2 linked regions of the Coturnix japonica genome follow. The protein of the gene in region 1 interacts with the protein of each later gene in a biochemical or structural test. Links are inferred from orthologs where the notes say so. Each region holds a gene or a part of one and is shown in the gene's direction. Other genes may lie near its edges.

Evidence for each region.
Region 2: of the proteins of COIL (region 1) and VRK1, one has a biochemical effect on the other in vitro, tested with the Homo sapiens proteins (2 studies listed by BioGRID and IntAct, with this or other methods). The link is inferred for Coturnix japonica from reciprocal best matches to the Homo sapiens genes COIL and VRK1.

Annotation. Positions count from the first base shown.
Region 1 is NC_029533.1:7,746,692-7,750,944, forward strand, and holds the start of COIL (coilin), read left to right. Parts: upstream 1-1,361; 5' UTR 1,362-1,398; coding exon 1,399-1,649; intron 1,650-2,197; coding exon 2,198-3,293; intron 3,294-4,087; coding exon 4,088-4,174; intron 4,175-4,253. Other genes in the region: SCPEP1 (retinoid-inducible serine carboxypeptidase), read right to left, coding at 1-40, 656-780, 1,234-1,342. UniProt on the Homo sapiens protein: Component of nuclear coiled bodies, also known as Cajal bodies or CBs, which are involved in the modification and assembly of nucleoplasmic snRNPs.
Region 2 is NC_029520.1:42,296,387-42,300,199, forward strand, and holds part of VRK1 (serine/threonine-protein kinase VRK1), read left to right. Parts: exon of another isoform or gene 1-15; intron 16-2,232; 5' UTR 2,233-2,237; coding exon 2,238-2,394; intron 2,395-3,813. UniProt on the Homo sapiens protein: Serine/threonine kinase involved in the regulation of key cellular processes including the cell cycle, nuclear condensation, transcription regulation, and DNA damage response.

The DNA of each region.
Region 1 (4,253 bases):
CGAAGTTCCCAAACCCACAGCCTGAAGATCCCGGACCTCCCTAAGGGGAAAGAGCAAATAACTGAGTTAGGAGGCAGCACGCCATAGATGAGGGAGACAGGAGCAGAACAAAACAGCACAGTAAGCACAATTTCATAGGGGAAGTCAAAGTGCCCTTTGCACTCCTCAGTAACTTGCAGAGAAGGCTCTGTTCCTCACTGTCTTTCACTATGAGCTGGGTGCCGTATGAGAACTTTTACCCCAATTCCTTTAATCCCAAGTACAAAAATTAGCCAAAACACAGAAGTCTGTGAGTCACTGGGTTATTTTTCTTAGCCAGCATTTACAGAACACACATTTTACCCCTTGATAACACAGAAGGGAAAGGACCAAGTCAGCAAGTGATCACATCTAATGTTCATTTCTGAAACACAGTCCTGGAGGTGAATGCAGAGCACACAGGGATGGCTGCTATCAGCTGTGACTGAATGGGACCAGTCACGGTGACAGTCAGTTTCTCTCTGTTGTTCCCTTACAGAACTTACTGTACTTCTCTGCCTGCTCTGCCCACCCCCACAGGCTGCAGGTGCCACAGAATCACACAGCACAGGAGCTCATCACAGCCACCAGCAGCGTCTGCTCCTGCACCGTGACTGGGGGATGTAATTCCACTCACCTGCAGCCACAGGACGAGCGGCAGTTCGTTGTACCCCGCACTGTAGTACAGCCACCAGAAAAGATGCGCCTTGCTGCGGACCTGCACGTACCCCCACAGCTCCCGGGGGGGCTCCAGAGCCGCTCCTGTGGGCAGAAAGACCGTCAGTGGGGGAAACACCAGGAGCCCCACCGAACCCGGCTCAGAACATCGCGTTTCAGCCTTGGGTGTGATAATTAGAAGGGCTTCAATTAAGAAACTACCACAAGGAGCCCGGCTGTAGATATACACACACCCACAGCTGACTGACCGGCCACCAACGAACCAAGAGCGGCGGGGAACGAAGCGCGGAGCTCATCGGCCGGCACCGCCCCGCCTCGGGACGGGCCATAGGACCGCGCTAAGGCCGCCCCGCTCCGCAGGGCACCGCGAGGAGACGGAACACGGGGGTTGGAGCTACATGATCCTTGAGGTCCCTTCCAACCCGGGTAATTCTGTGATTCTGTGATTCTGAGACACGAGAGGACAGCGGGGATCGCCCCGCTCAGCCCCGAAGCGCTGCCCACACACTGCAAGGGGTGCCCGGACACGGCCCGTACCTGCCACCAGAGCCGCGATCAGCGCCATCCCCGCAGCAGCCCGCCCCGCTGCCATCCCCACAGCAGTTCTCCCGCAGCTCCAGTCCCGCCCCTCTCTCTCTCTCTCCATCCCGCCCCTTTTGTCCCCCTCAGGCCGCCGTCCCTCCTCCCCTCCCTGCCCCCAACATGGCGGCTGCTGTCGGTTCCCCGCTCCGGCTGCGGCTGCAGTTCGATTTCCCGCCGCCGGGCAGCCCTGGCTGCGCGCTGTGCTGGCTGCTGCTGGAGCCGGGTCAGGCGCGGCTGGTCACCGACCTGCTCAGCATCATCCGGCACCGATTCGGCTTCAGCCGCCGGGCCCGGCTCAGCCTGTTCTTGGACGGGGCGCTGCTGCCGCCCACTGAGAGCGCCCGGCTCGTGCGGGACAACGATGCGCTGCGGTACGACGGGATGGGAGATTTTGGAAAGGGTCCAGAGGAGGGACAGGAAGATGATCAGGGGGCTGGAGCACCTCCCCTATGAGGACAGGCTGAGGGAGTTGGGTTTGTTCAGCCTGGAGAAGAGAAGGTTGCGGGGTGACCTCATTGCAGCCTTTCAATACCTGAAGGGAACTTACTCCCAGGAGGGGAGTAAACTCTTCGAAAGGGCTGACAATAGCAGGACACGGGGAAATGGTTTTAAGTTAAAAGAGGGAAGATTTAGGTTGGATGTTAGGGGGAAGTTCTTCACTAGGAGAGTGGTGAGGCACTGGCACAGGTTGCCCAGTGAGCTGTGGGTGCCCCATCCTTGGAGATGCTCAAGGCCAGGTTGGACGGAGCCCTGGGCAACCTGATCTAGTAAAGGTGTATGTTTGGTGGCCCTGCCAGGCAGGGGGTTGGAACTACATGATCCTTGAGGTCCCTTCCAACCCGGGTCATTCTGTGTGATATGGGGGCGGTGTGAGCGCAGTGTGAGCGCGGCTGGATGCTGTTTGTTTGTGTCTCTTTAGGGTGACGCTGGAGGAGATCACGGAGGAGCGGTGCGAAGAGACGGATGGAGAGTGCCGGGCACAGAAAGGTGATAAAACAAGGCACAAACGGCGGCAGAAGGAGCGAGAGGAGGAAAAACATCAGAGGGAAAAGAGGAAGGAGAAACGTGAACCAGAGTGTTCGTCCGGCAGAGAGGACAGCGCCGGGGATGGATCCGACACCAGGAAGAAATCCAAGAAGAGAAAGAGAAGGGAAGAGAACAGCGGGATGGTTCCAGAGGGGAAGAAGGGCAGAGCCCCGAGGCTGCAGAAGGCACCGGCAGCCAAAGCAAAAGATGGGCAGCAGGCAGTGCTACCTGTGTCAAAGGCGGCCCATAAACGGGTGGGCAGCGCTGCTCTGACCCCCAGTAATCGGACACTGGAGGCCCAGAAGCAGAGGGTGGGAACGTCGGAGTCCTCCAGCACATCGTCCGACAGTGACAGCGCTGAATCAAACGTAAAGCAAAGTAAATCCTCACACAGACCTGCAGCAATGGTGCTTCCCAGAGACAAAGCACAACCTGCAGTGACTGCTGCTGCTTGTAAGCAAATGTCGAATGCTAAACGTGGCAGTAAGGATGCAGGTAGTAAAAACGCTAAGAAACCGCAGTCCTCCAGTTCAGATTCGGACTCAAGTTCCGAGGATGAAGGAGCAGCACCAGCACAAGGCAGAACTGCAGAGCAGGCGCTGCCCAACAGCACAGCAGTGGCACAGACTGGGGCCATTGGGGCTCCCAAAGCCGGGAGCTCTGAGTCTGAGTCCGACAGTTCCGATTCAGAAACACTCGTCATTAAAAAACCTGCAGCCAATGCTGGACTGAGTAATTCCATAGCAAGAAACGGCTCCAAACAGTCACCAGCAGGAGTCCAAGGGCTGGCTGCTGGGCTGGGGCGTGGGAGGGGGCGTGCAGCGGGAGCGGGGAACTTCTGGAGAGGACCGAGGGGCCGCGGGTTCCGGGGGATGGCGAGGGGCTGGGGCAGAGGAGAAAGCACGGGCTTCTTCTATAGCTACAGCAGTGAAGGCCAGAAACAGAGGCAGCTGGATGAAGCTGTGACAAACACCCCTGTTCCTGTCCAGGTGAGTGACTTACGCAGTCATTGACCAGCTCTCTGTCACAGCCTTAACTGTATAATTAAGTACAGCGTGAGGGTAATTTGGAAAAGCTGAAGAAAGGTAAGTAGGGTAAAGGCTGATAGATCTGAACACGGTACATTTGATGTTTGCAGTATATGTCCTGCAGAAGAACTTATGAAACAATAAGTGATTGTATTGGTGGAATAATTGCTATGGGCAACTTGGAATGAAGGCACAGCGCTGTTCATAGCAGAGTGCAGCTGAGATGCTGATCCGCCAGCAGGTGGCACTGGAGGTGGAGTGGAGGGAGACTGCAGCCAGGTTCTGTGATCCACAGCAGCTCCCTGAGCAACCACAGTAGTGGTGTTGGCAGCATCTGGAGGACTGCTGTTAGTGGCTGTAATTGCAGTGCTGGGATGGATGGAAACTTGGTGGTACTAAGCTGCAGATGTGCTACCCTGGGTGGGCAGCCTGTCATTCTTAGACAAAATGCCGTCCTTTGGGTGAACTTTGCTCATTATGCACTCGTTATAATACCAAAGCACACCTCCATCCCCAAAGATGCCCACCCCAAGGAACAACTGCCCTCACTGAGCACTGCTCTGAATTCTTTAGCCTGTACCTTTAAAACCTCTTCCCCCCCCCCCAGGTGAGATTCACACACTTGGTTACACTGAGAGCTTTTATGGGAAACTCATAAATCTCAGTGGAGTTGTTTGTGACCCAGCACACGTGTGCCAGGTTGTTATTCTCAGCTCTTTGCAGACTGAATTTATCAGCAGCTCTTTGTTTTGCAGAATGCTGTGGATGTCCCCAAGAGAGACTACAGCGTTCTACCACTTCTAGCTGCCCCACCACAAGTGGGACAAAGAATTGCCTTTAAGGTAAGGATCTTTGGAAGTACTGAACGTCAGTAGGTCAGCGCTGTTTCACTTGGGCCCTGTAAGTTTTGCAGGGAACCAT
Region 2 (3,813 bases), on another chromosome or scaffold:
TAGTTTGACCAACTTGTAAGTAGGCTCACTGCCATCCTAACAGATGGATATGAATATAGACAGCCAAGAAACCATGTATGTGTATCTAGTGTATTTGTTAAGGGCAGGGATCCCAGCTGGGGATGCTCAAACTTATGTCCATTTTTAATTTTTGTTTTTATGGGTAAAGGGAAGTCATTGTTAATTTATTTATTTATTTTTAACTAAATACCTTCAGGCTTATAATTACTGACTGCATTGAATGACAACAATAACCAAAAAGAGAAATGCCAGCTCCTTCCTTAATACTTTTGTGAAGCTATTTCAAGTAAACTTAAATCTCTTTAAAGGGAATCTGCTATCAGTAGAATTGCTGTGGAAGTCAAGGATACTAAATGTATCAATACATTTGTTTGGCTGGCTTGCTAGCTTTATTGAAGGAGATGCTGTGAATTTTGCTTTTACTGTACTGTCCAGCGTTCAGGGACCTGAATTCCACCTATCCAATTCTCTCTGGAATTATTTACAGTAACTCTGAGGTCATGTTGCAGTCTTTCCACTCCTCTTTACGTCCCCTTCATATCTCTCAAATTGTTGTCATGATGCCTATTTTCTCCCCTGGTATGGCTTTTTTTGTACCCTGTAGAATATGTCAGTGATCACAATCTTTATGCGTATCTGAGTCCATTGGGTAAGTGCTGATTTTTCCTTACCTGTGTCAGTCCAAGGGTGGTTCCAAATATTTTTATTATCCCGTTACCTCTTTTATTGGCTCTACTCAGTGCTTTCTGATAATGTCTTTTCCTTCCTGATCTGGATGTACTGCTAAGCTGCTTGCCTTATTGAACAGTATAATGGAATGGCCACAGCCATTCCTACCTCTATTTCTTCTGATGCTTTGACTTCATCACTTTTCCACTTCCCTGGTCTTAGCTGAACTTGCATCTGATGCTTGGATCTACAGAATAGCTGGAGGAGGACTCTTCCTCTAAGGCAGTACAGTATATATCCCATTTTAAGTGGAAACAATAAGATAAAGACGAGAGGATATGGGTAAAATTATGAGCAAAGTTAGTCCTAAATTTTAAGTGTAGAATGTCTAAGTTGTATCTTGACTATAGGGAAGAATGGTAATGTATCTAAGTAAAATGAAATATGGGGAAGTGATGCTGAATTAAAACATCCTATGATGAGGATGCAAGTGCAATTAAGGTATCATTAAGTACCCGTCTCTTCCAGTGATGCTGATGTTTGATAATAGTGCTTTGTTGCAGTTACTCGTTTCATCCATGTAGGTATTCAGGTGTGGCTCTATGACAGAGAGAAAATTCTCAGATTAAAAAGGAACCAGAAAAAGCAAGACATCTCTTTGGTCTAGAATCATATACCTTTTCACTTCATTCCTGTGCTGACTGGCCAGCTTGTGAAGGAGCCCAAACATGTGTTTGCTTACAGTGACGTTTGTTCCAGTGAGCTGTTGTGTTACTTCTAGAAATGCTGCTTATCTGGAACCTGAGGTTGGAAAGTTGCGACAACGTTTATTTTACATCTGTAGTCTCCAGACATGTAGTTAGGTGTAGATTTTGGTGATCTATTAAGTCCTGTCCTGTGAATGATAAATAGATTCACTCCTGTTGCTTGCAGTTACGCAGGAGAAAAATACAATTAACAGTTTGAATCACTATTTTTTCTGATATTTTCATACAGATAGAAGGAATCTGTGAGAAATGTAGATATTACTGGTTTGTTTGTTTGTTGTGGTGTAAACGTTAATACCTGTCCCTATTATTACTGGAAACTTGGATTATCTGACATTTTTTTTGCAAAGCAAATTAAGCTCCTGGAAAACTGATGAGCTTTGTTTCGTTAGTTTGCTTTTTTTCTAAGCTCAGAATTACAGTCAGTTGTGATGAATTTAGTATAACAGATTCTGAGATTTTTCTGCTGTGTGTTATACAGAGTCTCCTAATAACTTTCTCAGGTGAACATTTTTGCTTTCAGATTTCTTTTTTTTCTGAAGCCTGAAGAAATTTGTTGTTTTTGTTTTGAATTTATGCCAAGGAAAATACTTACTGTATTTCTTTTAAAGTATCTTCACAGTAACAAATTAAACAATCTACATAGGAAGCTATCAGAAGCGAAAGCAAGCATAAAGCACTGTCACACGAAATACCATGAAAATAATTCTTGTCAGCACATAATTCTTGCTTTTCTCTATTTCTCTTTCCCTTCATTCCTCTTCTCCCTCTGCAGCAAAGATGCCATATATTAAGAAGACAGCTGGAAAAAAGGCCCCCACGAAAAGGAAACTTGCTGAAGTGTTTGCTTCGGGGGAGGTTCTAACAGACACATCAAGAAAAGAATGGAAATTAGGTGTTCCTATAGGGCAAGGAGGCTTTGGGCGCCTATATCTTGGTAAGTCTGTTCATCTGTTGGTATTAGTTCAAAGTGAGATGTTTGTGCTTGTTCAAAACAATGAATAATTGTCCCTAAGTTAGAAACCCAGAGTATCTTCAACTTAGGTTTTTGGCTAGAACCATGGCTTAACTCATGCTCTGGGAAAAAAAAACAACAGGAGTGGGGAATGGTCATTGTAAACACTGAGTTTTACCAGGTTCCAATAGTATTTTTTTTTACAGCAGTGAAAAGATAATTGAACATTTGTTTTAAGCGAAGTTTTGTTCAGACTAGAAGAAGGGATACTTCTGTGAGCGTACTTAGCTTGTGAAGTGAAACCTCCTAAGCACATTCTGTGGAGGCTACTGATAGCAATTTGGCCGTTTTTGACTTCTGTTGATACTGACTTCTTCACTGCATTGTGAACTTCTGATGTGAGTTGGGTACTTTATCATGTACTCAGTGTTTGGAACAGATTGTAGCGTTGGACCTTACTGTTTAAGGCATCAGAACACCCTGTTTTACAATGTTGTTTATTGAATTCAGTGTAAACTTTTGATGAGAGTGTTCCATAATTAGTATATCTGTTTTTTGAACAGATGAATAGAGTTCTCAAGGATAACTCAGGGAATCAAAAAACCTTGTTTTCCTCTTAGTCATTTTCTGAACAATTGTGAAGGGATAAAATGTAAGGTGATCCAGTTAACAGTCTTTCTCCTTTCTTCATCTTTTTTCTTCATGATAAGATTGCACTCGATTCATACTAATTTAAAAACAAGGTACATTATTACTTTTCTTAGCTTCTGGGTGAACAGAATGTAGCTTAAGTGGATTAAGAGATAAAACAGGACTAGTAGGTGTTTTGTTTTTTTCTAAAGAAACCTTCTGCTTATTTTGCCTTGCTCATTGAGCTATTTAATTCATAGAGACTGGAGTTAAAGTCACTCAAGTTACTCATTCCCTTGTATACACAGTGCCTGAACTGTTCAAGCCAAAGCCTGCCCAGTATTTGCTTAATTATGATCTACACAAAACTGTAGTCTTGATTCCTTCTGCGTTTGGTACTTGCCTAATTTAATGTCTTTTATACTTCTTTCTCCTTTTGTGACAACTATCAACATCTTTGTGCCTACAGTCACTTCTGGATATGTAACATGACAAAAAATTAGAGAGAATGTTGTTTTGACCTTGATGCCCTTGACTCTGTGTTCATCACAGTCCTAGAAAATGAAGTGCTATTGACTGGGAAAAAGTTTTTAAATATTAGATGAAGAAGCCTTTATTTAGTAAACTGCCTGTACTCAAGTAGAAGGGAGAACGTGAAACCATGTCCAAAGTACTCTTGCCATATATAGTAGTTCTCTTGCCAGAGTATAATGTACTGACTGATACATGCTTATTTCAGTACTTAATTGCTCAGTCATTTCTTCCTGATAG